Caenorhabditis elegans: one gene and its partners. The protein of the gene in region 3 interacts with the protein of the main gene of each other region in a pairwise test. Each region holds a gene or a part of one and is shown on either strand. Other genes may lie near its edges. The genes, in order: klc-1, atz-1, meg-4 and R07B7.2.

What was found.
Region 1: the proteins of meg-4 (region 3) and klc-1 interact in a two-hybrid assay, tested with the Caenorhabditis elegans proteins (3 studies listed by BioGRID).
Region 2: the proteins of meg-4 (region 3) and atz-1 interact in a two-hybrid assay, tested with the Caenorhabditis elegans proteins (3 studies listed by BioGRID).
Region 4: the proteins of meg-4 (region 3) and R07B7.2 interact in a two-hybrid assay, tested with the Caenorhabditis elegans proteins (2 studies listed by BioGRID).

The regions. Positions count from the first base shown.
Region 1 is NC_003282.8:11,081,860-11,089,207, reverse strand, and holds klc-1 (Kinesin light chain), read right to left. Parts: upstream 5,474-7,348; coding exon 5,437-5,473; intron 5,104-5,436; coding exon 4,963-5,103; intron 4,920-4,962; coding exon 4,603-4,919; intron 4,560-4,602; coding exon 4,469-4,559; intron 4,422-4,468; coding exon 3,629-4,421; intron 3,581-3,628; coding exon 3,349-3,580; downstream 1-3,348. Other genes in the region: bcc-1 (SAM domain-containing protein), read left to right, coding at 1-19, 70-158, 864-978, 1,029-1,151, 1,206-1,332, 1,397-1,550, 2,184-2,370, 2,417-2,561 and 3 more; let-70 (Ubiquitin-conjugating enzyme E2 2), read left to right, coding at 7,001-7,024, 7,073-7,246, 7,294-7,348.
Region 2 is NC_003282.8:12,372,908-12,379,591, forward strand, and holds atz-1 (Protein atz-1), read right to left. Parts: upstream 3,215-6,684; 5' UTR 3,147-3,214; coding exon 2,851-3,146; intron 2,800-2,850; coding exon 2,722-2,799; intron 2,371-2,721; coding exon 1,938-2,370; 3' UTR 1,774-1,937; downstream 1-1,773. Other genes in the region: wdr-46 (WD repeat-containing protein 46), read left to right, coding at 1-41, 308-1,091, 1,461-1,772. UniProt on the Caenorhabditis elegans protein: Plays a role in meiosis, germline development and oocyte morphogenesis. May play a role in DNA replication.
Region 3 is NC_003284.9:1,680,092-1,688,904, reverse strand, and holds meg-4 (J domain-containing protein), read right to left. Parts: upstream 5,952-8,813; 5' UTR 5,950-5,951; coding exon 5,892-5,949; intron 5,846-5,891; coding exon 4,375-5,845; intron 4,327-4,374; coding exon 4,243-4,326; intron 4,195-4,242; coding exon 4,048-4,194; intron 4,000-4,047; coding exon 3,865-3,999; intron 3,350-3,864; coding exon 3,072-3,349; intron 3,023-3,071; coding exon 2,697-3,022; 3' UTR 2,486-2,696; downstream 1-2,485. Other genes in the region: C36C9.11 (Transposase), read right to left, coding at 848-884, 1,223-1,275, 1,327-1,365.
Region 4 is NC_003283.11:12,054,611-12,063,064, forward strand, and holds R07B7.2 (PUM-HD domain-containing protein), read right to left. Parts: upstream 5,140-8,454; 5' UTR 5,138-5,139; coding exon 4,603-5,137; intron 4,458-4,602; coding exon 4,323-4,457; intron 4,257-4,322; coding exon 4,158-4,256; intron 4,110-4,157; coding exon 3,921-4,109; intron 3,498-3,920; coding exon 3,360-3,497; intron 3,291-3,359; coding exon 3,189-3,290; intron 3,139-3,188; coding exon 2,917-3,138; intron 2,876-2,916; coding exon 2,690-2,875; intron 2,537-2,689; coding exon 2,330-2,536; intron 2,273-2,329; coding exon 2,169-2,272; 3' UTR 1,952-2,168; downstream 1-1,951. Other genes in the region: F10C2.7 (Major facilitator superfamily (MFS) profile domain-containing protein), read left to right, coding at 1-83, 130-725, 1,452-1,710; clh-6 (Chloride channel protein), read right to left, coding at 5,893-5,991, 6,039-6,222, 6,330-6,602, 6,651-7,086, 7,132-7,921, 7,968-8,161, 8,208-8,346, 8,389-8,454.

The DNA of each region.
Region 1 (7,348 bases), on a different chromosome or scaffold from region 3:
TTTACATCACTTTTTATTAGTGAGTTTATGAATTCTCAAGAAGTATCTTATAACTTTAATTTATTTCAGACAGAAGAATATTTGAACATTTCCACTCAAGTTTTGGCCAGAGAAGAACTGAATTATCAATTGGAGAATGTAGAGGAGCATCGGGAAAGGTAAATCTTTTTTGAAATTACTTATTTACAGGAAAAAATGTGGTGGGAAATTTTCAAAGAAAGAATGTGAGGTTTTTAAGTAGGCAAAAAAAATTCCAACTTGCCTACTTTACATTTTGATTTTGTGCACAGAAATAAATAAGTTAATTAATAAAATAAATATGCAATCGTTTTTTATGTTTTGGAAACCCACATACTTGCTATTTAAAAAAGTTTGCCATGAAGTTTCAAAATTTGGCAAAATTCGGTAAAATGGCAAGTTTTCAAAACTTTATTTTTACGGAATTTTTAGAATTTCGAAATTTCTTAATTTCGGAAAATTTAATATCAAAGTTTCAAAAATTCTAAATTTTGGGAAATTTTGAATTTTCAGAAAGTGGTGGATTTTTTTGGATTTTGGAACATTCAGAAAACTTGGAATAAAAAATGTCCAAAAGTTCTGAAAGTTCCACAATTTAAAAGTTATGGGGTTTTAGAAATTCTCGAATTTTTTACTTAATTTTGGCAATTTTGAACACCTGAAAATTTTGGAATTTTGGAATTTGGAAGTTTTTGAAGTTTTTTTGGACTGCGTTTACCCAGGGGATTATTTCAAAAATTGACCAGTTAAATAGTTAACAACAATTTTAAGCTTTTGAGAACTGAATCAAATAAATTTATACTTGCGAACAAATTTGTACCAATATCAAATATTTTTGATTTCAGGCTCCGAGAAGTGTGCAACAAGAACAACGTGACCATTCAAACATTTCCAGAAACACAATCAATTTCCATTGTTGGTCCTCCATCGGGAGTATTAAATGTTAGAAAATTACTAATTGTAAGAGAATTTATTTCAAAAATTGTAGATAACTTTAGAAAATTTTGAAGGGTCTTTCAAGTGTGACAGTTCAATTTGATTGTAATATGATGGATATTCATTATCCAGTTCAACAATTGGAACAAGAAAGAGGAATACAAGTTACGTGTAAACGAAAAAACGGGGATATTATGGTGATTAATGGATTATGGTGATTACAATTTTGGAAATCAAATTGAATATTTCAGACCATAACAATGAAATCAACAGAATCAAAATTAGCAGAAGTTCTTCAATCTCGTGAATTACTGTTAGCTCTACCACCAACAACATATTCATCTCCTGATGATTATGATCCGAATCCTGTGATGAGCAGTTAGTTCACTTGAAACATTTTTGAGAACATAAACATATGTTTAATTTTTATAATAAATTGCAGGACCACCTAGTTTAACACCTTTGCAAACTGAAATGGCATCTGGAGTACGAGTATTTTTGACTCCGCCCATTGAATCTCCAAAATCTCCAGATCCAGAGGACTCTCCGCTCGCGGCTTCGATTTTGAAAGGAGCAAAGGATATTAGCAAAAATAGGTAAGGAAAATCTGAAGGTTACGGGCGGCAAACTACTTTTGACTTTTTAAAAAATGTTTTTAATTCGGCCAATTCTATTAGTAAGAACATAGAAAAAGAAAAAATGCAAAAAAAAAATCACTTCAAAAAGGCCTTTACTTTTTAACTTTTAAGATTTTTTGGTACTTTACACATATTGCATTTAAGGGACATTATCTCTACCATAAGACCGTATCTTGGTTTTTCTGCTTTTCTCGGCATAGTTTGGTTTTTCTGTTTTTTTGTCACAATATTGTCTGGGGGAAAATTGTTTGAAACAGCTTCTTTTCAGCTCAAATTTCCAAATATCAATATAAAACGTATGCTGCAATGCTCGACATTTCTCACAAAGTTCATAATTTTGGAAAGTTTGGTAACTTACCAAAACTTTAAATAAGTTTTTATGACAAATCTAAAAAATGTTGTAGTGATTTATTATGATATTCTGTTATTTTGAAGTAGGAAAACAATATGTAGATTTATTCCCCACGGACGATACTTCAAATTTAAAAGGCAAATATTACACAAGTGATAGGATGTAATTAACTTAATTGAATTAAGACTAACTTCGACATTCGACCAACCAAGAAAACCAAGAAAAATCTAAATTTTCAGCGATATTTGGAAAAAGAAATCGAAAGCCGATCGAGGAGAAATGCTTATAAAAGCAACGCAGGCAATTTTTGATGATTCAGTTCTATCAAGTCCAAGATATCCAACTGATTTATGGTCAGGTTATGGTTTTAGTTCTTCTCTTCCAGCTGATTTACTTAAAGGAATGATGGATTTATCAACTAATGAAGTAAGTATGAAATAATAAGTTGCATAATTTGATCAAATACTTGTAGCCATCCACAAATGGTCCTCCAATGATGAATCATTCACAACGGGGACTTTGTAGTGTACGAGAAGAAGATGAAGAGCTCTCTGATTTTTCAGCTTCATCCACTAATTATGGAATGTCTAGAATCTTTGAACAACCACCTAGAAATGGTTTGAATTCTCAAGGGTTTTAAAGTTTTATTTTCAAAAGTTGAAGTGTTCTCTGCATCAACGTCGGTTTTCGATTCGAACTCACTTCCATATAATCTACAATGGGATATTAATTATTTCACGGATCCTTCCATGGTTCTTGCACAACTTGGATGCAGTGAATACATGACTCAGTTGAGAGATCAGGAAGTTTGTTTCATGCACATTTGAATAAAAGTATTTTATAATTTTTAGATCGACATGCATGCTTTTTTGCTGCTCGACGAGCAGAATCTGAAGGACATTGGAGTTTCCACAATTGGTGCCCGCAAAAAGATTCATCACGCAATTTTGAGTTCGTTTTCTTTTCTCTGCCTAGTATGAGCAGAAAAATAACAAAATGAGCGTTATAATATTTCCATGGCAACTTTTCCAGAGCTCCGCGACTCGGCTCGACTTAACGGATATGCAGTCTAGTCTATATTTTCGACGATTCAATAATTTTCGGGGTGAAATCTCACCGGTTTTCCTAATAAATCCATGATTTGCTGTTTTTTCAACTAATTCTTAAACAATAATGAACTTTTCTTTTTCACATAGAATACGAATTGGACTTTAAAGACAATACTTTATTCAAAGCGTACAGTTCCATTAGCTCTCCATGAAAAACAACTCTATATTTAACTCATCAATTATTTAATACGAATTAATTTACCATACATAAATATCAAAAATAAGGCTTTGAGTATGCGACATGGAAAACGTAAAGAGGGGATCGGCAACTAAATTATCACGAAAAGATGTGAAATCAGAAATTTAATCCGACAAAATGCATGATTCTCTTTTTGATCCCACTTTGAGCAGGATTAATAGCTACGGCGCTTGAAGTTTCAACACTTGAGGCAGTAGAATTAGTGTGATCTGCTCCTCCGTTGATTTGTTTTTTCGCACCTAAAGCTTCTTCCAGCGTCCCTGCAGCTTCCTCTTTTCCTTGCTTACGATAAACTGCTGCCAAATTCTTTATAGTTGACATCACATTGCTGAAACATAACAATGTAATCATTAATAAACTAATTAAAGGCAATAACCTATCCATCACAGTTGTCGGGTTCACATTAAAGGATTCATCGTCAACCTTCGGAATCCCATTTCGCTGTCTTTCTTCGCGATCTTCAGCGATTCTCCATATTGGTTTGTTTCCGGTGATAGCAACTTTCGAGAGAATGTTCTTGTACATCTCTTCAGCCTCTTGATACTTTCCTTGCTTTAAGAAAACAGACGCCAGTTGGTTTTTTGTCTTAATCACATTTTGATGATTTTCCGGAAATGCACGATTATAGATTGACAGAGCTTGTTTGAAATAGTTTTCTGTTTCTTCATACTTTTCAAGCTGTTGGGTGACAATTCCGAGGTTTGTGAGCTGTTTAGCAACATCCGGATGATTGGGTCCTAGAAGATTTTTCCGAATTTCGAGAGCTCGTTTGCACAAAGGCTCAGACTCCTTGTACTTTCCGCGTTTTCCATAAGCGATTGCCAAGTTGTTTAGCGTTGCCGCCACAGAATGATGGTTCTCTCCACAACATTGTACACGAATGGATAAAGCTTTTTCCAAATAGATCGCAGCATCTTTGAAATTTTCTTGATTTCGGTAAACTATTGCCAGAACATTGAGCATCGTAGCAACATCCAGATGAACATTCCCGTGAACTTTCACGACGTCTTCCAGAGCTTGCTTGCATAGCGGTATCGCAACTTCAAATCGACCTTGCTCCATGTACTGTATGACCAGGTTTTGTAACGTTTGCAGGCGAGTCGGTAATTGGTAATCGTTACTGATAGGATTGGAAAAAGACGATGAGCGACATCCCTGATCGGCTTGATCTGCAAGATAAAACAAGCATAATTCGTAGCACAACAAATAAACTTACTGTTGTTCTGATCCTCTTCCTCTGGTCCGAATCCAAGTTCCTGTAGAGTGTCTACCATCATGGGCGTGGCATCGACGGAGGTAGTGTGTTGCTAAACGCGTTATTTAATCCCAATCACAAGATAAATGACTTACAAAATCACTGTTCAGGTAATTCATGGAATCTTGAAACTTGTAGTGATCCCTTTCTTCCTCCAAATGCGCGACAGTCCTCTCCGATTCTTGAAGCTTCCTCTGTGTGGTTGTCAATTCATCAAGAAGCCAGGTGTTTTCCTGTCTCAGAAGCCTAATACTTTCATGGTTTTTTGACAGTTGAACATCGTATGATTGCATCAATTTGTCCATCATGATGAGCAGAGATGCTTCATCACCACCATCCATAACTTTCCCAAGACTTTCATCAATCAAGCCCATCTTTTCACTGGGCAAAGAAGGTTCGGATGAGTCTGAATCTGATAGAAACTTTATTCGTACTCATTCCGTAAATCGTCTTACTAATTAAATTAGCTTCCAATATCCTTGTTGCAGCCTCGTGTTCATCTCGCAATGCAAACAACGTTTGTTGGACCGTCTTTAAGACAGTTGTGATATCGTCACCCAAGGAAATAACCATCACTGTTAGAGGAATGAGAAGCCCTGAAAATTGTCTCGTACGGATGATGAACGTTAATTTTTCTTAAATTTAAGAACAATAAAAACAATAAAAACAAATCACAAAACAAAACCAAATTTATGAAATTTAATTTCATGAAAATGAAATATTTCAATGCGTTGAATTCAATTGAACAAAAAGACGACGAGATAGATGTGCAGGTGTGCCGACTACGGTAGCACGAGATCCAGCAGCCTGACAATCGGCGGGTTTTCGAACAACTGTTTTCAAGTTTGCACAACAATTTCTCGTAATTTAATGTGAATTTTCGATTATTTTAATGTTTTCTAAAAAATTTTTGTTGTTTTTATTAATACCTTCAACGTAATATGGGATAGACAAGCAGTATGCCATTTAAAAATATTTTTTGATTGGAAGAGCTTTCCATATCTCTTGGCGCCATTTCGAACGCGGCAAAATACAGATTGTGAAACAAGGGCGGTCCATCATTCTTACTCATTTTCTTCTAATTTCTTCAGTTTCTTTTCAGTTCGTTTGCGATGTTCCTTATTTTTCTTCCTGCTCCAACTTCTGTAGTTCGTTCTGTTGTACTTGTTTCCAATTTTTTAAAGGTTTTCCTCGCTGAATTCGTATTTTAAAAATAACTTCAACTCCACATGTGAGTAGTGATTAGGGAATTTAGTGCTCGATCAATAATTTGAACAACATTTTTGCAAAACTTATTTCTCAAAATTAAAGTCACTTCCGAAGTATGATTTGGCCTATTTTATACCTCTTTGTTTTCGTTGTCCCACGTGACTCATATAGCACGAAATAAGAAAACACACTCAAGTTCATTCGTCCTAAAATTTTATAAATTCCGCGTTCAAATTTCAGTCATCTAGTAACCATCAGAAAAGTGCAAGTTCACTCACGTCCACACTGAATTGAATCAGTGGAATCACATGATCAACTGCTTCTCTCACTCTCTCGCTTTGTCATTAGATATCTCTACCTCTCTGCGTTTCGTGTCTAAGTGCTTATAGTTTCACTTCTCTCCGCTTTCAATCCCCATTGCGATGCGACTGCAGCATTGCAGTGAGTGTGATGGTCGTCTCAAGACCCATGGCGCTGCGTATCGATCGTTGCCTCGTACCCTCTTACGTTTCCTGTGTTATTTCTGTCTCTGTCGTTCTGACACTTCAGCGCTCACCCCGTCGCTCATTTTCACTCACAGACAGCACACATTCTCACTCACTCGCAGCCTATGGCCATTTCTTCCTTCCTCACCATCTCGTGAGGCGACAAGTCGCGTGTCTTTAGTCGATTTCAGAGTGATTATCTGGAAATCATTTGTTTCAATCAGAAAATAATACGTACATGCCGAATAGTTTTTTAAAAAACTAACCAGACAATTTGTGATACGTCTTGAATTTTAATTTTTGCCCAGTCTCGATTCATTGTGAAGAAAATTTTACAAGATTTGAATCGCTTGCTTTTTGTGCGTAATATTCCAGTCCATTTCTTTTAAGCGTTAAAATTTTTTTCGAGTGTCACTGGCTTGTAGCCGTAAAAATGTGTCATATTTGTCATCATTTCTCATCGTTAGTTATTTTATTAGGAAATTTCCGAAATTTATGTTATTTTGGTTTTCAAATTTATATCTGTTCTATTTTTCCTCATTTTTCGCTTTCTAGAATGTTCCACTAGTTTCGAAATGTGACGTAACAGTTCACCACGAAGGGCAAACTGAGTACTTTGTACCGCCTCTAAATATCGATTTTTCGCCGCGCCGCGCCGTACTCTTTATGTTATTTCATGCGAAAATCCTCACTTTCAATTTTTCCCTATAGCAGAAGCTCAATTTCACCGTATTTATCGAAATTTATTTTCAGAGTACTCCGGGTGTAGCCGGGTCAATCAGCAAATCAGAACACCAACATGGCTCTCAAAAGAATCCAGAAGGTAAGGTTTCAACACTTAACAACAATAAAATTATTATGTACGTTTCAGGAACTCCAAGATCTCGGCCGTGATCCACCCGCACAATGCTCCGCTGGACCAGTTGGTGATGATTTGTTCCATTGGCAAGCTACGATTATGGGCCCACCAGAGTCTCCCTATCAGGGAGGTGTCTTCTTCCTCACTATCCACTTCCCAACAGACTATCCATTCAAACCACCAAAGGTATTGATCGAAATTGGAAAAAAATAAATTTAATTTGTTTTCTTCAGGTTGCCTTCACCACTCGAATTTATCATCCGAACATCAATTCAAACGGAAGCATCT
Region 2 (6,684 bases), on a different chromosome or scaffold from region 3:
CATTTTGAGCAAAGTGTGATGGAGAAGGTTTCCGATGTGAAGTAGGTTATGGCGTCCAAATTTCTAAAACTGTTTTACGCTGAGACCTCTTTTTTTCGCTGATTGAAGTGCTTTTTTGTGCCTATAAGTCACACAATACCACCGAATTTGGGCAAAATGCACCTCAATCAACTTAATAAAAGCGTATTTTGTTAAAAGGAAATTTTCAAGATGATTTTGTAAAAAATTCGGTAGCTTTAGAACATATGGATGCTAATTACACGTTTAATTACATTTGTTAAACATTAATAACAACGATTAATTTCAGATTTCTTCATACGGAAAACTTCATCGCAGTCGCCCAAAAAAACTATACTTATGTATACGACAACTTGGGTACAGAACTTCATTGCCTGAAAACCATGTACGACACAGCTCGCCTCGAATTTCTTCCCCATCATTTTCTGCTCGTCGGCTCTTCGCGAAATTCGTTCCTTAACTACGTGGATGTGTCTGTTGGAAAACAAGTTGCCTCGTTTGCAACGAAATCTGGAACTCTTGATGTGATGTGTCAGAATCCGGCAAATGCCATTATTCACACTGGACACACAAATGGAACCGTGTCCTTGTGGTCTCCCAACTCAAAAGAACCACTTGTCAAGATTTTGACTCATTTGAGCGCAGTCAAAGGAATTGCTGTTGATGATCAGGGAAATTATATGGCGACCACGGGTCTCGACAGGAAATGTCGTATTTGGGATGTTCGAATGTTCCGTCAACTTCATGCATATTCACTACCATTTGGAGTGTCGAACGTGGCAATTTCTCAAAAAATGAACGTTGCCTGTGCAGTTGGAAACCATGTACAAGTGTTCCGTGGAATGCATAATGGGACGTGTAAAGAGCCGTATTTGGTGCACAATTGTGGAGGTGTGGTCACTGATTTACGATTTGTTCCATGGGAAGATGTGCTCGGAATTGGACACGCAGGCGGATTCACGAGTATGTTGGTGCCAGGGGCAGGAGATCCGAACGTTGATACGCTCAGATCTAATCCGTACGAAACGAAATCACAGAGAAAGGAAAGAGAAATCAAACAATTGTTGGATAAGGTATGGAATTTATTTTATTCGATTTTGATATTTGAAGTCTGGATGTCAAAAACTCTATTTTTTATGATTTTATCATGAAAATCGAAAGCACCTCACCAATAAAAAAGAAACCTTTAAAAAATTTTCTCCAAAAAAATCTTGATTTCTCTATATTTCATGAAAACTTTAGTTACAAAATTATGTTCAATCTCGAAAAAAATGAGATTTTTTTTGAAAATTTATTTCAGACTACTTGGTTCTAAATTTCACAAAAGTTTTCCACGGAAAATTCGGAGTTTTCTTATACTACAGCAATTTAGAAGACCCTTCTTTGGCAAGCGAAAAAAATTTTTGCAAAAATTGTAATGCTAACTAAATTCTAATTTTCAGATTCAACCGGAGCTCATCAGTCTTAACCCAGACGACATTAACAAGGTCAATGAGGGACTTCTCGAGTTGGAAGAGGAAGAACGAAAGAAGATTCTCTACATTCGTCCGATGGCTGTTCAATATACGCCACGTCACAAGATGCGCAGCAAGAAGAGTGGTTGGAAGATGGAGGCTCGTAAGAATATTGTCAAGGATCAGATTCGAATGGAACGGAATATGGAGAAACATGCGGTGGAGAAGGAAGTTTTTGAAGCACCGGAAGTGGATGACGAGGCTCCGAAAAAGAAACACATTCTGGATCGTCTCAAATAGAAGGATAATCAATTTTATTTTTTGTTGTTGTTGATTTTGCGTTATTTTCGTTTTGTTTTTACTGAATTTTTGAAATTATTTCTTTAAAAGATTTGACATTTGGAAATTTATGAAACGAAGGAAAAAACAAACAGTAAAATAAAAAAGTAGAAACTAGTATGTATTTTATTCGTAATCTTCCTCTTCTCCCTCCTCATCATACTCTTCCTCATCCTCAAAGTCTTCTTCAACCTCGTAGTTCTCCTCCTCTTCATAATCTTCTTCCCCTTCCTCTTCTTTCATAAGATCGTCATTCTTCTTCTGAAGATCCGCAATGATCTTCTTCTGGGCTTCCAACTGCCCCGTCGTCTCGATCATCATCGCCTGGATCTTCAACGTGAGCGCCTCTTCGAATCGATGCTTGTCCTCCAGCTCTTCAAGCCGTTTCATATAGACTTCAGTGAGCTTGTTCGCATCGTCGACCTGTTTCGTGAGGCTCTCGATGGCCATCGTCTTTTTCTTGGATTCTCTAGCAGCACTGTCCAATGCATTAATCGTCAATCTCAAAACACCCTCTGGTGGAATACCAGTTTTCGCTGCTGGCATCAAATTTTTGATTCTGAAAAGTGTTACTTTTTGCATTTGTGCTTGTTATTATGGGGACGCAAAAAATGGTTTTTTGAAATCATCAAGGCACAAGCGCGCTCCAATGATGGGTCTCATTAGGTATTGGCAGGAAACTCGTAAATTCAAACGTTTTTGTTGTTATTATCGATTTTAATGTCGAAATGGTCTTTAAAGATGCATTTGAATAAGGGTTTCTCGTGTATTTTACATGATTTGTTTCGACATAGAAATAGTGGAAAAACTCTTGAAAAAATTTGAATTTCTGATTTTGCCTTCGCCAATACCTAACGAGACCCAACTTTAGAGGCGTTGCGTTTTAACTTGGGTAGGCTCCGAAACTCACCGTTTTTCATTCTCAGGATCTGTGCTCTCACCAAGGTTAGCCACAAGTAATTCGATTCTCAAGAATGTCTGATATGACCTGAAAAAATAATTCGATAAATTTTAGGAACTCAAATTCTTAAAAACTCACTCATCAATTTTCGCATCCCTTTTCTGCTGTGCTTCCCTCAAAAGTTTCTCCAATCGACCAATTTCCTCATTTGCTACTTGTTTTCCTTCTTTCGTCTCCTTTTCAAGATCCGAAATTCTTTCCGTGGCAACTCTCAATTTCTCACTCAAACATTCCACATATTCGACATTCGAATCAGTCTTCTTCGCATCGAAAAGCTCTTTTCGTTGCTCCAAAAACTTTTCAGTGAGCACTTTGAATTGCAAGTTCTTCGCGGCAAGCTCGGTTTGCACATTGCGGAGTTCGATCGAAGCCATTATTTGAATATTACAGACAGAAAAAGGGTGACAACCAGTCGATAGGGACCTGTGCGAGTGAAATGAGACAAGAAGAGGAGCACTGCTAATAGATGGTATCTACCGTAGCAGTTGACCTTTCCAAGAGGTAGACACGTCATCATTGTCTGACATACTATGTTTGCTCTCTCTCTCTCTCTCTATATGGTCTCGAAGGGAAGGAGATTAGGTCATAGGAGACGTTTATTGGAATGAAACACTTCATTAAAAAGGGTAATTAGTGAACTAGATGAGCTAAATGCATATTCAAATTTGTAAAAGGCCACCTAAAATGTTATGCATTGTCAAGAGAAATGGCAGTACTACCTAAACTGTGGCTGTGAAAATTATCTGGATTAATTTTTTGAAACCTAAAGAACGGTCATTGATAGTCAGAACTTTAGTTAATATATTTTTCTTGCATTTTTACATTTTTTGGGTAAAAAAAGGTGTCATGTTCAAAGTTTCCATTAGTTTTCAATATCTGAAGCTCTTTTTACCAAACGTTGAATCAAAAATAGGTGACAGACATTATTCCAATTTCAATTACCAACTTGTATTCTAGGCATTTTCTTTCTGCTACAAACTTTCTGCAACACTTTTTTTTGTGAATATTAACCAAAAAGTTGGCATGACAGACGCCGAATTAAATAGTTGATTGGTCAGATAACTGTATCTTTTTTCTCATGTTATCAGTGAAGCAAGAATCAAAAACTTTCAATAAACCGAAAATAGTTCATTCGAAAAAAAAATTATCTAGAAATTTCAGTTAAGTTTTTGGTAAAAAATTCAAAAATTCAACAAAATTGAACGGTATACGACGAAGGTTTCAAGCACACGAACATTGTTGAGTTGTCAAATGGATAAGTGTATGCACCTGGACATGCATTCTTGAACATCTTCGTTGTAGAGCTCATTGTGCATTTATCTGGAGAATCATACTCCCCACGGCAGCATTCCTTATCAGTTCCATATCCAAGACATCCAGATTTACACCCAACAGTGTAACCTGAACTACTCTTCACTGCAAGTTCTGTAGGGCATGCAGCATTTACATCAGAGATGCATCCACCGGCTCTTTGACATCCCAACCCATCAATTAACATTGGGAGATTGTAACCATCGATTAGATTAACTGCATAAAAGTCTCTTCCAGCCCAAGATTTCAAATTGAATTCTGCGACAGATGCGGGTGGAGTTCCTGTCCTTCCATTGCATTGTTCTGCGTTCTGGAAAAAGTGTAAAACTCTCAAACCTTTTTCATTTTTTTTCAAGACTTCGGGTATTCCCAATTTCGGATGTTTTGAAACTTATTCAGTATATGCGTGTGAATTCTGCGAAACGTTTGAAACTTCCTGTCAACATTTACTGTTGAGAAGCTTGCCCAAAGTTTGGCAGAAAGTAGCAAAAATTTGGCAAAAAGATTATATAGTTTCGACGACCGTAAAACGTGCCCAGAGTTTGACAGAAAAAAGACCAAAAATTTGCCCGAAAATGAAAATGTATTTTGGTAATAGATTTTGGAATATTCATCAAAAAAAAAATGATGTACGTCCTTGACAATTCACGACTTTCAGATATTCTAGAACATCTAAAGTACTTTTTCGTATTTCCCTTTTACACAATTTTTTGGCTGAACTTAAAAAATTGTTCAAAATGTTTTGATCAAATATCCCCAAGTGTTTATTTGTTTCAAAACTTCCATAGAAACTTATACTTTCAAAATGATACACTGTTAAAGTATAGATCTATAGACTTCAAAAAAGTTACATTCAAACTACGGAAAACTCACCAAACAAGTTCCAGTCTCACAATTGAAATCTCCATCACATCCAGTCCGTGCCCAAATCTTTCCATTTCTCCAATCATCATCCACATTTAAATACTTTGCCGCCCACGCATCTATTATTATAGACTACGATTGTCCGGCTGTTCACAGTGAGGAGCAGAGATATAAGTAGAATCCAGATGGAAATCATCTGAAATTTTAAATAATTGCTGATCGATTATGTTTATAAAAATTGTTTGCAAAAATATTCGTAAAAGACTACTGTAGTCAACTTCCCGTAATGTAAAGTGTCTTCCTTACATACTTTCCTTTCCGATAACAAAAGTTTGTCCAATTTTGAACCAACTGTAGCATTGTTCCTTAAATACTCCTCTAGCTGATCTAAAGACCAATCGAGTTCGCACCGCCCGTTTATTTTCAATTGAACATTTCCTGCAGAAACTCCACTGCTTTCTGTACCCATCGCATTTTTCTCAATTCATGGAGTTGATTCCATTTCTGATTACCTTCTGATTGGGACAAATTCGTTATCAGTGAACAGTTCAAAATGAAAGTAAATACGAAATGAGAAGATTATAAAGATTTTTAAAAAGAATTCACCGGAAATGGGCAGAAGAAAACCACGTGGATCGATCAAACGGAAGGTTTCCAACAACTGTTTGTTGGAACATTTTGGATCTAGAGGTCAGATACACTACTGCTACCGCAAAACTCTAATTTGATGACCCAATCTTAGGCGTTTCCTATTTTTAGGTTAACCAATGATTTATGTTTGCAAATAATTTTCCTAACAAATTTTTTTCGGTGCCATGAAATTTCCGTTTAAAAAATTTTATGGATTCCTTTACTCATTTAAACTTCCATACATGTGTAAAAAATTAAAAATATATTATGCAATCGTTTGAAATAGGAAACGGTCAGATTTTGACTTTTGTATGGCAGGTATTCTCCAGAAATTACATTTGCAGTCAATTGATACCGCTCTTCCACATGTTGAATGAAATATGTGATTCCATCTTTGTTCGGAGTTTGTGTTCATTCAGAGATCGCTTTTCCTCGCTTTCGATATGTATGTAGATGTGACTAAAAAAACTTAAATTCAGAATTTCAGAAGTATTCGCTCCCGGAATTCAAACTTTAACATAAATTGAACTCAAACTTGCTCTCTCAAAACATAAAACATTTTTGGTATCAAATTGTGGCTCTAGAACTTTTTAACACTTCTTTCCAGGCGCTTGTTATCTATCACGAGAAGCAATACTGAAACCACAAATCAATTTTATTGATAACAAAACGAGAGTCGTCCAATTTTTGTATGTTCTAGGAAAAGTGCATCTGAAAATAATAGTCTATGGAATTGTAATTTGCTAAGATTAGAACAGCACTCGAATCTGACCCTGGCTAAACCTAAAGTATTAAATACAAAATGTTCATATGGAAATATTGAATCAGAGTTCAAAATTGGATTGTTATTAGAGCTGTGTGGGTTTGTTTACAGTCCTTCAAAAGTTCACATGTCGACATAAATGTCAAATAAAATAAAGCTGCGGAAGCATGACTGGTTGGCGAAAACAAGTGGCAAATATGGTTTTTAAAATTTTCCAGTAAGGCAACAGTTCCATGGAGGTTTCAGGAAGTGACAGGAAGGGGATAAGTCTCGATCGGGTAGGAGATCTATTTTACATACTTCAACTGATATTTAGAAGGCTAACCTTTTTACATGTTTGGAAA
Region 3 (8,813 bases):
ATGGTCCATTTGTCGGCGGCCCGTGCACTGGGCCGCTAGAACACTACAGAAAAGGAAATGCGGGGAAAGGGAATAACAAAAGACGCAAACAGAGAAAGGTCGTACACCACGTAGAGTAAGGTGCCCTGCCTAATTTGTAGGAAACTATAGAGAGGGCAGAGAAAGAGACAAATGAGAACGGAAGGGCGAGAGTTTCTAGCTCCAAGTCAAAGAATCAATAAGTAAATTAGCTCCAAAGCTCTAGAGTACAATAGAGAAAATTGCAATTCACAAATCTTTCGGTTTTTAGGATTTCTAATGATTTTATCTAAACATCTTGGTAAAATTACTTAAATCTGGAAAACTTGGCTCTAAATATTTACTCCATTTCGACAAAATAACTGGGGCGGCTATCACTAGTTGGGTGTCGTTTCCCTCAAGAACTTCACTACCAATGAGTCCTAGAATGAGTGTACCGTAATAATAGAGATTGCTTCAAACTGTTTTTGAACAGAACAGCAGACCAAAAGACCTGAAACGTGTTGGATTCAGAAAATCCAAGAATAGCACAAGAATAGCACGAGAGCAGCGAGAATTGAATACTGTTTGGGGGTTTATTATTGTGACAAGTTTATTTTAAAACTTGTGGGATTAGGCAATGAGAATCGGGATTTGAAACATGAAACAAGAAATTCAGAAAGTGGAAAGTAAAGGAATAGTTGAAAAATGGGAACATTGAATAAAGGGGGGAGGGGAAATATAATAAAGGATATGAAAAATGAAACAGTTATATAAACAATTATCAGTCAAATGCCATTCCGTCGAAATTATCATAAATGTTCATGTCCTTGTTGACTTCGCAAAAGTCTCAGAATGATTCGAGGTCGCAGACAATTTTATTCACTCTGAAAATATAGTATTATTATGACATAGGCTCCTACTTGGAAATGATCCAAGAAGGCTACTGGCGCAATTCTCGTGAGCTTTTTTAATGGTATTTTGGAGTCGGTTTAATGCTTGTAGTTTTTAATTAGCTAACGATTGTTCAAAATTGAAATGTTTCAGTTTTGGGCTAATCTTAAGCGTTTATCTGCTTGATATCTTTTAATTAGACCGAAGTTTCAAAATTTTTAATATTTTTTGGCAGTTTGGTATTTTTATAGGACGCTACTATGTATCTAATGTATACATTATTCCATAACCTTATTCCATGTTATTATAGATTTTCGAGAAAAGCACTTACAATGTGGGATTTGCATTAAAGATATTTTTCTCCTCGACTTGCCGATTCTTACTCTGAAATTAATTTCTGAAGGTTTTCGAAACTTTTTTGATACAAAAACTCACCAATTTACCATCTTGAGTCAGAAGATTTTTTGTAGACATTCGGGGTGCGGATAGCAGAAATTAAATTTCTGAAAGTAATGAAAATTAGCTTCTTGAAACTAATATAACTTTAAAACTCACCACACATACAATACATAAATTTTTTTAATTTGTTTTAATCCAGAAAAAAATGGTGGTGCCAGCCACACAAGCCGCCGCAGGAAGACCAAATGATACCTCCGGGAAAAAATTTTGATAAGAAAGTAGAGGAGCAGAGAAACAAAAACAATGAAAAAGTGTGTAGCGGACTGCAATAAAATTTTATATTAATGTAGAGTGACACACAAAAAGAAAAAGATGCTAAACAGTTTTCCTTCGAACTTTAAAAATATTTTAGTTTAAAAAAAATTTGAAAAAAAATCAAGTGTTTTTGATGGTTCTGGTGTTTCATTTAAATGAAACTATACTGTTTTATTTCATCAGGCTTAGGCTTAGGCCTATGCGTAGGCCTATGATTTGGCTTAGGCCTTGGCGTAGGCTTAGGCTTCGGATGTAAGCGATATTCTAGAAAATTTTGACTATGATAATTTGTCATTTTGGGATCATAGGAGTAGTTTTTAACAATTTCCCCTTTGGTTTTTTTGGATTTGGTCTGGCATGCTGCCACTGAAATGAAATTTCACAGGAAACACTGGATATCTAAGGCCAGCACTTAACATTGTTTTCATTCTTGAAAGCTGAAATCGCTAGTCAAATAGCCATCCAAGGAAAACACAACAAGTTTAAGGCGGGAAATGGCGCAAGTGGACGTTCAAAGAGAAGACCTTCAAATGAAGTTAGGCAGGCAAGTAGGCATGCCTATCAATAAAAATGTAGAGGGTAGTATCTAGTAGTATTAAGAAAACTTAACATTCCTATCCTTATAATCAGTAATTGCCAATTTGGATTGTTAATAACTTTTTATATTTCAGAGTCAACTACTAGAATTCTATTTATACGCGCCTATACCAATTTCCTCTACTGTGTTTTTCAGTACAAACGGAACCTTCGCTATCGTAGCGGATAAGTCTGAAGCATCGCTTTTGAAATTGAATCCGTGACCACTTTTTTGCCTAACTTTTACAAAAAGCCAAAGAAGAGACATATTTCTACTAATCAGTTGCCAATTATATACCTATTTCAAACATTCGCTTTATTGAAATTCAACTTTGAATTTTGAATGAGCAGCAGTCCTGATAACAATAGAAAACTACCCGTTACAAGTTCCTGGGCAGACCATAAATAAATTCACAAGAAGGAGCAAGTTGGAGTATAAAAAGAGTGGTTAAAAGGTCAATGAACAAGAATAAAATACAAAATACTCGACATGAAATAGATATATATCAGTACAATCATTGATCTCTGGGTGGGTCAAAAATAGATTCCAGCCATTCTCGTTTTGCATTCAAGTATCTGACAGGATCCGATTTCCGAAGATATACAAGGAGACACGCATCAGCAATTGAGATGATATTCTTCTGTCCGATACACTCCTTCCACAACATGTAGAGCATATTGGTGGAATCTGTGGAGCTGCTCGTATCGTCAAGCCGAGCCTGAACGAACTCGAGAGCAATATCTTTCTGAACTGCAAGGTCATTTGGATTTCCTAAGCAGGCTTCAGCAAACCGGAGAAACCATCTTCTGAATATATTTCGCACAGGTGGAACCCTTGGATCTGAAAAAATTTACGTTTTTCAAGATTAAATATGTCTTATCTTTCTTACCATCGGCATAAGGACCATCCAATCTTGGAATTGTCTCGGTGCAAAAATAATTCAAGTACAGCCATCTTTCAGGTGACATCCCGTGAATATTCAAATTCACTTTCAAGAGTTGTGTCTTCTCTTTGTAGTGAGCATCAATATAATCATTGAAGTCTTGTTGAGCTTCCAGGAATGCCGTCAAGCTATCAGAAATACGAGGTGGTGGTGAAGTTGGAGGTGCATCTTGAGAAGAATCTTCGGTCGGGTTGGCTGACTTGCAAGGGAGTGGGGCAGGCTGACTGAAAAAAAAATTAATTGTACTTGGAAAGTATGTTACAGAAATCGAATCAAGCTGTGCGGCAAAAATTTATATATTCTGAGGAAATTAAATTTATTAGCGGGCTCGCAATTCACCGTTTAGTAATTATAATATCAAGTGATTAGACTGGGCTCCAGGGATGTGTGGAAAATCTCAAAAGTTGCCGAGCACTACTAAATTTTTGGCGACAAAATCCATAGCTTTGATCAAAATTGTCTGAGCTCGGCAAACGGCAAATTAGGCTAATTCGGCAAAGTTGTTTCGGCAAAACCGTACAAATTTGCCGCACACCTTCTGGGCAATAGACAAAAGCAGAGGGCTTTTTGCGGAGTTGTGCAAGATTAATGCTCTATTTTTTTACTCGAGAGGTCTAGTCTTGACCTCAATCTACTCAACTTGCACATTATTTTCCATATGTTTGATCCACGATTTTTTGAGAATTCAGAAATTTATATAATACGAAACTCATTGCGAATTTATTGATTTGGGCCTTACCTGGTGGCTTCAGAGGACCATCTCCCGGCTTGGTTGTTCACTTCAGCCATACGATTATCACAATTGATTCCACTTCTTTTCGGAGTTGGGCAACCATTACAATCTATGGAAACTGGATTTCCGGTACAATGAGAGCTGGAAAAGAACATTTAAAAATGTTGTTTGTTCTTTGTAGTTCCATACCTTTTCAGTCCATCAAGCCCTGGAGTCAACTTTCGAGCGATTCGGTTTCCTGAAGTTGCTTCCTTCCCAGAAACCGTGGCGGAGTACATTGGTGACTTTGTGAGTTTCGAATCAATCATGCCAAGTGACTTGTCAATCTTTGAAGACCTGCAATACAAACATAATGAAAAAAGCAGCTCCAAGTGTAAAACTAACTTGTTGGATGCTGTCAGACATTTTTCTCCGATCAAAGCCTTCGGGCTTGTGATGATTGACAAGGAAGGTGTTCTCTGATCCTTGCTGAAATTCAAACTTTTACTAAATACTTCACTTTTTATCACTACATACCTTGAGAAAGCACGTTTTGTAGATTTCGGCTTCCCAGGGTCCCCATGAAGTAAACGTCTCATTTCCTCAACGTTGGCATCAAAAGTTCCTGTCCACTTTCTTCTTGAGATCTTTGGAGGAGAACTCGGATGTGGACTTGGTGTGGGTTCGACATCTTCTTCTACAGTCTCCAGCGTCACGTCAAGACTGGCGAGACGGGACGCACTACGAGAACTTCCACGACGATGTTTCTGCACTGAAGTTTTCTTCGAAAGATTTTCTGGCAGGGTTCGATTGTTTACATCCAGAAAACTGGAGTCGAAGTCTTCACCAATTGAGCAATTTAGATCACTTCTAGCTGGTAATGTCCGATTCAAATTGCTGCATTCTCCGTGAGAACTGGAAGCTGAGTGCAAGTGTTGTCCGATCTTCATGCTGACAATTTCCAGTAACTGTTCCACAGAAAGTTCGGTGCCGTCCTTGCTGAACACATTGGATTTCAGATTACGTTGAGCAGCTCCTCTGGAAGAGTTCAGTTTCTCCGCCACTTGACTGCCAGCATCCTTCGTTCCGCGAGACTGTTGTTGAGATTTGTTAGTGACAGATTTTGGACCGTTTGCAACACCATTGGAATCTTCTATGAACACGTCGTCAGACAGTTCATTGTCATCTGTGTTGTAGAAAGCACGATCCTGGACATTAGTGCTCCCATGTGATCTTCTTCTATCGTTTCTTGATCCTTCTTGATGATGCTTCCTTGTTAAAGCTTCATTAATAGTAAATCCGGAAAAGCTCTGGTTCAAATTCCGCGGCTTGAAGACATCATGCTGTTGGCCAAAACTAGAATTGATCGAATTGATAAGCTCATTTCCAAACATGCCTCCATATCTCTTGTCCTTGTGATCTCCAGGAGCTTGAACTCCAGCTTGAGCGTTGAAGCTTTTATTTCCATGAAGTTGTTGGTAAGCCTTGGTTTCTTGTTTCTGGAACCCAGCTGGAACGGAACTCCCACTGAATGACACATTCCCAGCATGGCCATGATTGTTCGATCCATCCGAGAAGCTTCGGCCAAGTTGTCCATTCGGACGGCTTCTACTGTGCCCTGTATTTGACTGCTGAGTGTTGTACTGATAAGTGGAAACTGACAAGTTCCGTTGATTCCAGCTGGAGTTATTGCGTGTCTGCGAGTTTTGACGGAAGTCTGCAGAGAACACGGGGGCCGTTGGAGGAATGCTCGATGAGTTGAAGACGTTTCTGTTAGCTCGAGCTGCATTCATCGATTGATTAATCGAGTGATTCAACTGGTCGCCGTTCATGGAAGGATTCCCGTTAAAAGACACGGATCCGTGGTGAGATCTGCCACCATATCCACGGCTTGTTGACTGAACACCGTCTTGCTTTACGAACGAATAAAACAATTCTTCAATACTAATGTGGTGTCCCATATTTTTCGATGCACTTTCCAAATTGCTTCGACTATGAGAGCGGTGACCTGAAATTACAAATTGAAGAAAAAAATTGATTTAAAAAATGCTTACCTTCTCTGTTTCCTCTGGAGTTTGGCAGATCACATGAGGAAAGCTTTGAAGAACTCATACCTGCAACAAAAAAAACTTAATGAAATATTACAAAATGTAAAAATGTAAAAATGTAAAGAAAATAATGAGGGAGAGAGGAATTAATGAAAACCGGTGGGACCAAAAAGCAAGAATGGAGACCTGTGAGTGAGTGAGTGCGAGAAGTGAGAGAGTGAGAGAGGTAGAGAAAGAGAGCGCGAAATAGTGTGTGGGGAAACGGTCAGGGGAATGCATGCGCGCGGCAAAAACACAGTTAAAATGCGGCAGGGGTATTACCAAAACAACACAAAACGTTTGTATGGTACCGGCTGTTTTTCAAGAGTATTGGAGGTTTGAGGAACAGTTGAGTAAAAAGTCGGATATTGATAGTTAATTCTCTGGAATATTGGTGACCGGAAAGATAATCACTGAATAAAACACGAGAAGAAGAAAAATAAGGAAAAATCTTTGGTTCCGTGTACTTGTTAGTTTAAAGGTGGAGTAGCGTTTGTGGGTTTTTTGTACCTTAATGACAAAATAGAGTTTCAATGTAAATATCGAATAAAACTGTAAAAAAATTCCGAACATTTTCTTTGAAATTTTATGATTTTTTTCAATTTTGCAAAAAAAAAGGGCCGAATTATTTTTCAATTCCAGCGCAAATTATTGACCTGATCTTTGACATTTTTCTTAATATTTTCTTTGATTTAAAACTTAAAACTTTAATTTTTCACAGTTTCATACATTTTTCAGTAATGTTTCAGTAAAGTAAGTTAAAATTAATACTGAATTATCGATTTTTAGACTAATTTCAGCGTTTCCAAGTGAGCAGCCAATTTTCTTTACGGAAAAATGTCTGAAAATGTGGCAAGTAAAATTTCAAATTATGACACAAAGAAAAAATGAAGAAAACTCAAACAGTTTGCCACGTGGGATCAAATGAAAATCTTGAGGACTGTGGTCGATAACTTCTGCCAATTAATTTTCTAGACTGTCTCATGTTTCAATACCAAAATGAAATCATTAAATACTGCCAGGTTGCCCCACGTGGCAAAATTTTTTTTTTTTTTTTTTTTTGGTTTTTTTCTACAGGTCTTGCCTGGATAAATGCCGTATGTAAGCTGTAAGACAGTGGAACGAACACTGAATTCCCATTTAAGGCTGGAAGGACCTAGGAGGTGGGGGTCGAACTTGTGACCTTGTGATTGCAAGCAGCGCGCATAGGCACTGAGCCATGCACCCCCCGGAAGCATGAGTCACTAATAGGGGTGGCTATAGGTCGACCTAGGTCGACCTGCGACCTAGAGGGTTAGGTCGCATCGCGACCTAGGTCGCATTGCGACCTGCGACCTAGCGACCTGGGTCGCTTTGCGACCTGCGACCTAGCGACCTGGGTCGCTTTGCGACCTGCGACCTAGCGACCTAGGTCGCATCGCGACCTGAATTACCGACATTTTGTTCTCTTTCGGTTTTGATTCACTTGAGTTGTTAAAATCCGTATAACTCGAAAACTAAAGATTGCAGAATATGTATGATATATTCCACTAACATTTTCTCTATTAAGATTTTATAAGTTTATGCGTAGTTTTTTTTCAAAAGTACGGAACAAAGAATTCATTTCTACAAATAAAACCATGCATTTCAGCAAATTTTTTCAAAAAGTTCACGTTTTTGTGGTTTTTGTTGTTTCTAAAATTTCATTTTCCACTTTTCGAATTAAAAACGTAGAAAAAAGCAGCAAATCCGGCGGATGTCGGCTGTTCTAACTTTTTTCGACAAGGTGTCTTATGGATGAGAAATCGAAAACAATGTAAAATAAATGATTTGTAGCAATTTGTTAGTATAAAAATTGTCGGTAATTCAGGTCGCAATGCAGTTTTCGAGTTATACGGATTTTAACAACTCAAGTGAATCAAAACCGAAAGAGAACAAAATGTCGGTAATTCAGGTCGCAATGCGACCTAGGTCGCTAGGTCGCAGGTCGCAATGCGACCCAGGTCGCTAGGTCGCAGGTCGCAATGCAACCCAGATCGCTAGGTCGCAGGTCGCTAGGTCGCAGGTCGCAATGCGACCTAAATGAAAACAGCGACCTAGCGACCTAGGTCGCACTCTTGCCACCCCTAGTCACTAATGAATTATATGAAATCGATCGCCGGAGAAGCTGCAAGCAGCATACAAAGGATCTTTTTTATTTTTTATTTTCAATTGATCTCTCTAGAGTGGCTTTTCTTATAAAATATTGAGACTTTTCCAAAGTCTCTATATGCGTTGTAACCAAAATTCCCAAACTGCCAAGCAAGTATTTATAATGAGTTCAAATTCGAAATGGGGAAATTGTTTTAAAACACGCCTATGTTACCACAATGACCGAATATCATGATAAAAAATTTTCTAGATTTCATATGATTTTTTGAAAATTGCAAAAATCTCAGTTTTCCTCTAATTCCTATTCGAATTTCCGCCGAATGAATTCGTTCGCTGGAGCGCACTTGCATTATTTTTATTAATTTATTTTATTTTTTCTCATTATTACACTGATTTTCTTCATTCTTTGTGTATTTTTATCGGAAAACAAGAGAGAAGATAAATGCAAATTATTTATTTAAAAATAACTGAGAATGGGTGAAACTGTGAAATAAGCTAATTTCAGGCTTGCTATCGTCGGAACTCATAATTTTACAGTTTTACCCATTTTCAGTGATTTTTAAATAAATAATTTGCATTTATCTTGAATTTTTCTCTCTTTTTCCGATAAAAATACACAAAGAATGAAGAAAATCAGTGAAATAATGAGAAACAATATAATAAATTAATAAAAATAATGCAAGTGTGCTCCAGCGAACGAATTCAATTGGCGGAAATTCAAATAGGAATTAGGGGAAAACTGAGATTTTTGCAATTTTC
Region 4 (8,454 bases), on a different chromosome or scaffold from region 3:
TTGCTCAAACCGGACTCTTTATTTCAATTCTAACAAGTTTCAGCCCAGCAGCCACAGTGATGACAAATGCCGCATCTGGCTGGGTAACTGGACATGAAGATAATCTCTAGACTGTTTTGTTTCTTTCAGTTGTGTAAATCGTCATATGGATGGCAGTCTGCATTCTATGTTCACGCAGCTGCTGGTTTTATCATTTTTGCTGCATGGCTCTATTTTTATAATGATGATCCACAATTGAACCAAAAAGTGTCAGCAAAAGAGTTGACAACTATTCAAAAAGATAAAACAAAAGCACATATTGAGAGGGATTCGTTTGTTCCGTATTGGGAAATTTGCAAGAATCGAGTTATTTTGACTGTTTGGATCAACTCTTTCTTTGAAATGACTACTTTGATTCTTCTATTGACCTATTCTCCTATATATTTCCGTAAAGTCCTTGACTTTAGTGTTGTCGAAACTGGAATGTTGATATCCTTGTCGGCAGTAGCTCATATGCCAGCTAAACTCTTATCTGGATGGTTATCAGATCGTCAATTCCTTTCTGAACGTGTTCGAATGTGGTTCTTCAATACTTCATCAGTCGGACTTGCTGGATTCATGTGTGTCAGTTTGGCATATATTCCTGTCTCATGGAAGTATACAAGTGTTATTATGTTCAGTATTGTCTACACTTTGATGGGAACAAATTGTGGTGGATTTTATAAATGTGGAACATTTGCGTCACGGTAAGCTTTGATTTTGTTTCACCCCAACCGTACTCATACCATGATCGTAGTGATTTTTTGAATGACAAAAGTGGGTTTAATTTCAAAACTTAAAATTTTAACTGTACAAAAATTGTTTCCTTAACGTTTTCCTACATATTTGTAACTTTAGAATACTCTACCAAAATTAGGACAAATGATTTCGCGGTCGAAGTATTACGAGTTTTCTCTTCAACCGCATGTGGTGTCAGAGGGTCCCATATCGGCTTGATCTAGGTCTACGAAAATTTCGGTATTAAAAAGCAGACTTCTAAACTGATTCCGCATGATTAGAAGCGTGCTGACGTTTCAAGTAAATGAGCACGCTAGTAAATGAGGGTTTGCCCGTGAAATTTTATTGGAAAATGAATTCCCGCATTTTTTGTAGATCAATCCGTAATGAGACATCCTGTAATCACTGCAAATGGATGACAGAATCTTTAGAAAATGCCAAATAACTTTTATTTGAATATAATAAGGGTTGAAACCTGTGAAATTGCTTTGGATTTTTTCAAAAGCTCTTTTTTATTTTGGTAATTTTCCAAAACTAGGAAATTTGGTAATTCTGAGTATTTTGAGTGCATTCAGACAAAATCCTAAGTGGTGATACTCCAACTGTGTCCAAATCCAAAAATTTAAACACTGAAAATTATGAATTCACTGTAAATTATTCTGAAAACCATGCAATTATCCATAAACAAATTTCAGTCAATATGCTCACTTTGTGCTTGCGATGATTCAATTTATGAAATGTATTGCCTTATTTGCTGCTCCAGCAACAGTTGCCATATTTGTATCAGATGAATCATCTCATACTCAATGGGGTCATGTATATATTCTCAATGGTTTACTTATGTTTATTGCCAATATTTTATTCTTTCCAATGGCAACTGATAAACCACAATCATTCACATTTGTCACACGAGAGACGATTGAAGAAGAGAAAAAGAAACATCAATTTGCTTGATTAATTCGAAAAAAGAATTAAATATTACGGTTATGTATATAGATTAATGTCGAAATTAAATTTATATTCCGAACATTTCACCCAATAAACAATTGTTCTTCGTTCAATTTACTTTCTGATTTCTAATACAAACGCAGCACCAGTAACCCAACACTTCCCCCATTCCCACTCAATGTCCCTTGAAGACGCTGAAACTTACATTCAATAATTCCACTGAACACCTAGACTACTTTGGACGACAGAGCTTGAAAAAAACTTTATTATGAGAAAAAAACTTAAAAAAAACAAGAGAAACCATAGAAAATGGAGAAGGAACATTAGGTTTCCAGACATCTGGCAATAAAAAGGGAAACATTAATGAGATTTGAGAAATCGCGTTTTTAAATCGGTGAAACAATGGGCAACGAATGATGAACAAAAAACAATAAAGTTTACTATTACCTATTCAAAAATTAAATCTACTTTTTACTGGGAGCCTTATAGAAGTCTTTTGACCACCTTTTTGCACGACGAGTATCGCCTCCTTGTTCGGCGTTCCATTCCGCTTCGTAGCGCGCTGGAGCTGAAAAACGTAGTTAATTTATAAAGGTTATTTACATAAATTCGAAATCAATAATACCTTTTCTTGTCCTCTTTGATGAAGTAGGTTCTTTATCAATTGTAGAAGAAGGAGTTTTTGAATTTTTCTTGGTCGTCTCATTCCTTGAATTTTTGCGAGATGAGCCCGGTGGAGATTGTGATGGTTCGAGTCGTGCTCTTTTCATACCGGTGGAAATGGCAACAGAAGATCCATATCTTGAGCGCGAGGTATGTGGAGATGTGTCATCTGAAAAATAGAAATAAAATAATATAGAAATAACTTGGCGCATCAGGACTGAGCGACAAACGACGAATTCCGTTCGCCGAAAAAGCCAGATCCCACACATCCCTGGTGTACATTGTGTAACCTATATTTAAACAACTGGTGTTCGATCCTCACCGGTTTCAGATGCGCTTGGCATTGGAGACTCGTTTCTATTTTCAGTTATAGAAATCGCTGATATTATGGATCCGAAATCTTCCACTGGTGTCTCATTTCGCACATCTTGATTATTGATTTCCTCTGTTTCTCGAGCAATCGAATTGACTCCAGATACAGCTTGGTTGACGGATCCAACATCTGTTACTGTTATATTATGTTATGTTATGTTAGGTCGTAATTTATACTTTTATTACCGATGATCGCATCGACAGTATTCTCGATTTCAAGATCAGCCTCAAGCCTTTCGGTTTCTTCGGGAACGATTTGGTTTTCATTAACATTGACTTCTGGCTGAGAAATCGGCGCTGCAGAAGGGATATCGGCAAATGAAGGATTTACATTCGCCGAATTTTGATTTTGTGCATTTTGATACATCATTGCATGATTCCGTTGTTGCTCCCACGCCGCTGAAATTGTAACATATACCTTTACTATAAGTTGCAGAAATTGAGCGAACCGTATTGAGAGTGTAGAAGCATCTGCTGCTGCATAAAAACATCATATGGCGGCATGAACGGAGATTCAAAAAAAGAAGATGGAGCCGCGGAGTTATTCATATCTAAAACGTGTAATTTCTCATAAGTAGTTTAATTGACTATAATTAGAGGTAGTCAAAATTTATACTCACGAGATGGCATCATTCCTGGATGCCAACTCATCATGCCAGCCGCAGGTTGACCGAATGGGCGAATGAAATGATTATTTTGCCAATCGGGTCCCTGTCCTCCCGAGGAATTCGGCATTGATGGAAACATCCCTCCGACCCCTGAAAATTAATTAATTACTATCATTTACTAATATATATATATATATAAAGCGCTTATTCCGTTTGTCCATAGTTTGTAGTCTATGTAGTCTTTGTAGTCTGCGAAATTTTAGCTTCTGGAGGGATAGTGAGTTGAGGTTAGTGTAAGGATATAGTCGGGTTACTGTAGTGGTACAATAGTGATACGGTAGGAGTACTGCATGATTACGGTAGTTTCAGAAACATTAGTTTTTAGCTCCAAGAGGTCGGGAGCCGCGCCGGAGGTGCGGTCCACGGCTGGTCAATTCATAAAATTATTGAATTCACTGATTTCTGGTGGCAGTGGAAGACAAATTTTGAATTTCTTCATTGTCTGTTAGAATAAGTTTAGCCGAACACGAAACTGAACAGAGCCAAGTGCATTTTTAATATAAAATATTTCACCTCCAAACAAATTTCTAGCATTATGTGGTTGCTGAGCCCCTCGCATGTCTTCAGCCTGATTTCCTTCTTCTTGGGGAACAGGAAATTGGGACCGTTGTTGCTGTGAAGACATACTTCCGAGCAAGCCAGATGATGAACGAGCAAAATGCGAAGATCCATCATGTCGAGTTGGGAATGATGAGCATCGCTCTGAAGTTACTTTTTTAAACGAGAAGCAAAGTTGATGGTCTGACTTACGAGAATTGATCATTTCAGGGAAATGACTTTCCATTGTTTCTTGACTTGCTGGTGGATTAACCTGTGAATGAATTGACTGCATGCTGTTTGAGTTTGTTTCTGTAAATTACTACTCTCAAAATAATTGATTTATTTTATATTAGTAAGCTCTATTGCCAATTATACCTTCTCTCTGTTCCGTTTGATGAAGTCTCGAATGGAAAAACGATTGAGAATCGGCATCATTGAGACTGGTCTCATTAATTCCAATTTGTTGCGAAGCTTGTGGCATTTCAGTTTGTTCGAGATCCTCTTGACGAGCTTAAATTTAATTTTATGATGAGTATTAGAAATATTTTCAATATTTTGCGGACATATACAAGAGATGTTCCTATTTTCAATGTATGCACCTGAGCGTAGGACGAATTAAAATATGGGAAAAAGTTCGAATATTAAAGTGGGTTACCTTCAGAATTTTGCAACGGATGACTCGGCGGCACAGGCGCGGATTGCTGATCTGGTGGAGGAAGCAACTGGAGTTGTTCAGGTTGCTGGAGATAAATTGGAAATGCTGTCCGAGCTTTGATGGGCCGGCGAGCTTGAAGATGTTCCAAAAGTGAATTTGCCAATTTTTCGATTAAACAAGATTCTGAATTTGTACCGGCGATATTGGTTGCATGACAAGTTTGTGTTGTTCTGTTCGCCGTTGAACAAATGGCTTCCACCTCCTTATCCTTTGTTTGAACCTCGTATTGGCTTGAAGTTTCCACAGCCGTGATAATTTCTGATTGGACATATTGATCTCTTGTTGGAGCGTGATGTTGGCTCCAGGCATCAGCAACGTCGACTTCAGATTGTACTCCTTGATCTTTTGCGAACGTACTTTGATTTGCATAAATATCGGAAAGTGAGGAAAAAGGCACACGTGTTGATCCAAACAAGTTCCCAAAACTGCGACGTCGTCCAGTTTGTTCTGTGTTATCACCGTCAGAAGCACTCATCTGAAGCGTTATAATGATTATTAATTTATTAAAAATCAAATGAGGGTTTGTGAAATGGTTTCATACAAAATTCCAAACAAAAATGTTCCTAAAAACTAATTTAGAAAATAATTTTCGTTTGGCGAATTATTTACAACGGATATGACGCAACTCTGCGTACTTTTACCTCGGCTACAGTAACCCATTTCGTTTTTCAAAACATATTTAAATACACAAAAGTCCTGGTCTGTTTTCCTGCATTAGTTCGCATCATAATTTAGGTATTGTAGAGTTTACGAATGCGATCTTTGGCTCAATAATACCTAAATTTTGAAAAAAGTTTACTTTCAACCCTTTTTAAAAATTATATTGTGTTTCTGTACATCCTAATTACCGATGCTCCTTTATAAAATTATAATTGTCTATAAAATCATAATGGTATTATTTCACGCCTTCTAGAGAGTATAATTAATGAAATTAAATACCGGAAAACACATTAGACAAACGTACCGATTAAGATTTATCACAGAATAAAATTGTTAAGAAAGTGTCTATGACATGAACAGAAAATTTCAAAATAAGTTCACATTTTGCAACGTAGTGTTGCGATTTATTTTTTCAAACGAAATTTCAGTTTTTCAGTTTATTTCCCAAAAGAGACCAAACGACATCTTGCTAAACGCAAACATATTTTTTAAACTCTCTGTGCATTTCCATGACTTAAAAAACACGTTTTCAAAATGGCAATGGTAGAACATGAAAGAGAATAAGAACATTTAAGATTCAGAAATATAAAGTTCATCAACATGATACTCGCGGTTTCGGCGTCTTTCACGGAATCTGGCAACATCTTTTCTAGTAATCACACCACGAAGCTGAAAAACAATACTAAAAAATAAATTTGGATAATGTTCGTCCTCACATGATTATCATCGTTCACCACAAAAAGGTATCGAAGTCCAAGTCCACGGAAAAGTCGGAAAATGAATGGAAGAGATGTGTTCAGTGGAACACGGTGCGGATGAGGATGCATGTAGGGCTCAATGTCCAGGAAACATGACTCGTCGAAATTTGTTAATCCGAGTTCAGCAACAGATTTCATTTGGCTGAAAATAAAATATATAACAATTGAATTATAATATTTTCGTAGTATGTTGAATACCAAACAATTTCTGTTTTAAAATTCGTATTTTATTCAATATAAATCACTTACTCGTCGTCATCCTGGCATTCATAAAAATCATTTGGAAGTGCAGAGTTTGAAGCTCCTTCTTCCTCGAAAATTCGATTTTCCAGAAGTTTGAACAGTTGTGATCGCAGAATATAACCTTTCAGGCGTCCATAATCAGGGAGTGATTCGTATGGCGATTCTTCGATTCTATCTACTACTGGAAAGCCATGATGAAGTGTGGAACGAAGAATTTCAACGATTCTGGATACTCTTTCTCGCCGTTCTAGAGCCACAACATCTTTTCGCATCACGCGGCTGAAAATTAAAAAAAGATTTTCGAATTGTTACAACAAAAAAACCAACTCTGCCAAAATGTTTCTGCTCATCTTTGGTGGATTCCAACCAAGAATTGGAACTTCTGCTAAATCAATATGAGCATCATAAAGTCCTTCATTGAACATATCTCCAACCCATTTTGTTACCATCAACACCAACATAATAGGTAATCCAAATGTAATATCTTTAGTTGCTTCCATTATAATAGCTGTTAATGAAATTGTCATTCGAACAACGCCTCCGAGTTGTGCGGCAGCTCCTGCCAATGCGTATTTTCCTGGATCAATTCCAGTAACCGAAGGGAAAAGTCGTTCAACAAAAATTCCAAACAGGCGGCCCCATGCTGCACCAGTAAGAATAGCTGGAATGAAGACACCAGAAGGTACAGAGATTCCGAACGTCCAGAGAGTGAGCAAGAAATATTCAATTCCAAAAATAACAAGAGTTGTGACACCAAAAGAATCTGAAAATATTTGGATCTTAAATGTTTTTGAAAGATCAAACTTACTTATCGGACTATGAAACATACTCTTCACACTTTCTTCAGGATTTTGAAAAAATAAAGAAGCTACTGCAGAATATTCTCCTTTTTTGCACCACATTTGATTGATTTGTGTTGATGTTGCTGTAGGATTCGCTCCTATCGGCTGACAATCGTCAATTGCGAATATTGTGAGGAAAGCAAGAAATCCTGATACCGCGGCAACAAGAAGACATTCGAACAAACGACCCAGTTTGCTGCTCACATATTTTTTACGGAACTCGGTGAGTTTTGTATTTAAATAATTGAATAAAGCTCCAAGACAGCCTCCAATTATTCCAATGAGAAGAAACAAAGGAATTTCCCAAATATTATAATCCTTATTTTCGAAAACTCCGAAATTCGCGAGACCTGTCCATGAGAGCCATCCACTACGTCCATTGAACCAACTGAGAATCCAATTTACAGTGAATGAAGAGATCATTGCAGAGAAAAACATTCTCCATGTCAAAGCTTGATTCCAAAAGCTTGCTCCTTCTTCTAAAGAGAATAGAACTCCTCCGATTGGTGCTCCGAAAGCAGCAGCAACTCCAGCAGCAGCACCAGCAGAAACGAAATCTCTTTTTTCTCGATCATTTCTAAACTCGCGGAAAAGTCCGAAATCGATTCCAAGGGAATAACTTTTTCCCTGTGATATCCCAGCTCCTACAGCAGCTCCAGAATGGATCATAGGACCTTCTTTTCCAGCACAAAGACCACCGCCAACCGAACATGCAACTCCAACTGCTTTTGAAACGAGCGTTTTGAGACGAACAACCTGGAAAAAACGAAAGTTTCAGAAATTTTTGAGCTGGAAATGACACCTCAGGAATCGCAATTCCGTTAAGATAACACTTTATTTGAGGAATTCCAGAACCTCCAGCAATCGGAGCTACATAAATCACAAGGATTGCAGCTATAGTTACGAGAACACAATTATATCCTATCCAAGCTATCATTACGGTCCACATACACCCTGCAGTCGTTCCACGTTGCTCTTCGCCACACTTTGAGAGCACTGAATGTTTCGTTTTCAATAGATTAGTTAGATAAGTATAACTGACAATATTTGAGAATCCAGTTAAATTTGATATCTTTACTGTAGTGTACCATAATATCAATAAATGCAGCGACGAGTCCAGTGAAAACTCCAATCAAAAAGCATACAAACCAACGATTTCGAGAAATTCGCCAAAGAGTTAACTGAAAAGTGACATTGTTACTGTATCTATGAAATCTCAAAACCTGGTGAGATGGTTTCTTTTCAGCATCTCTATAGAGTCGATTCTCAGATATTTCATAGTTCAGACT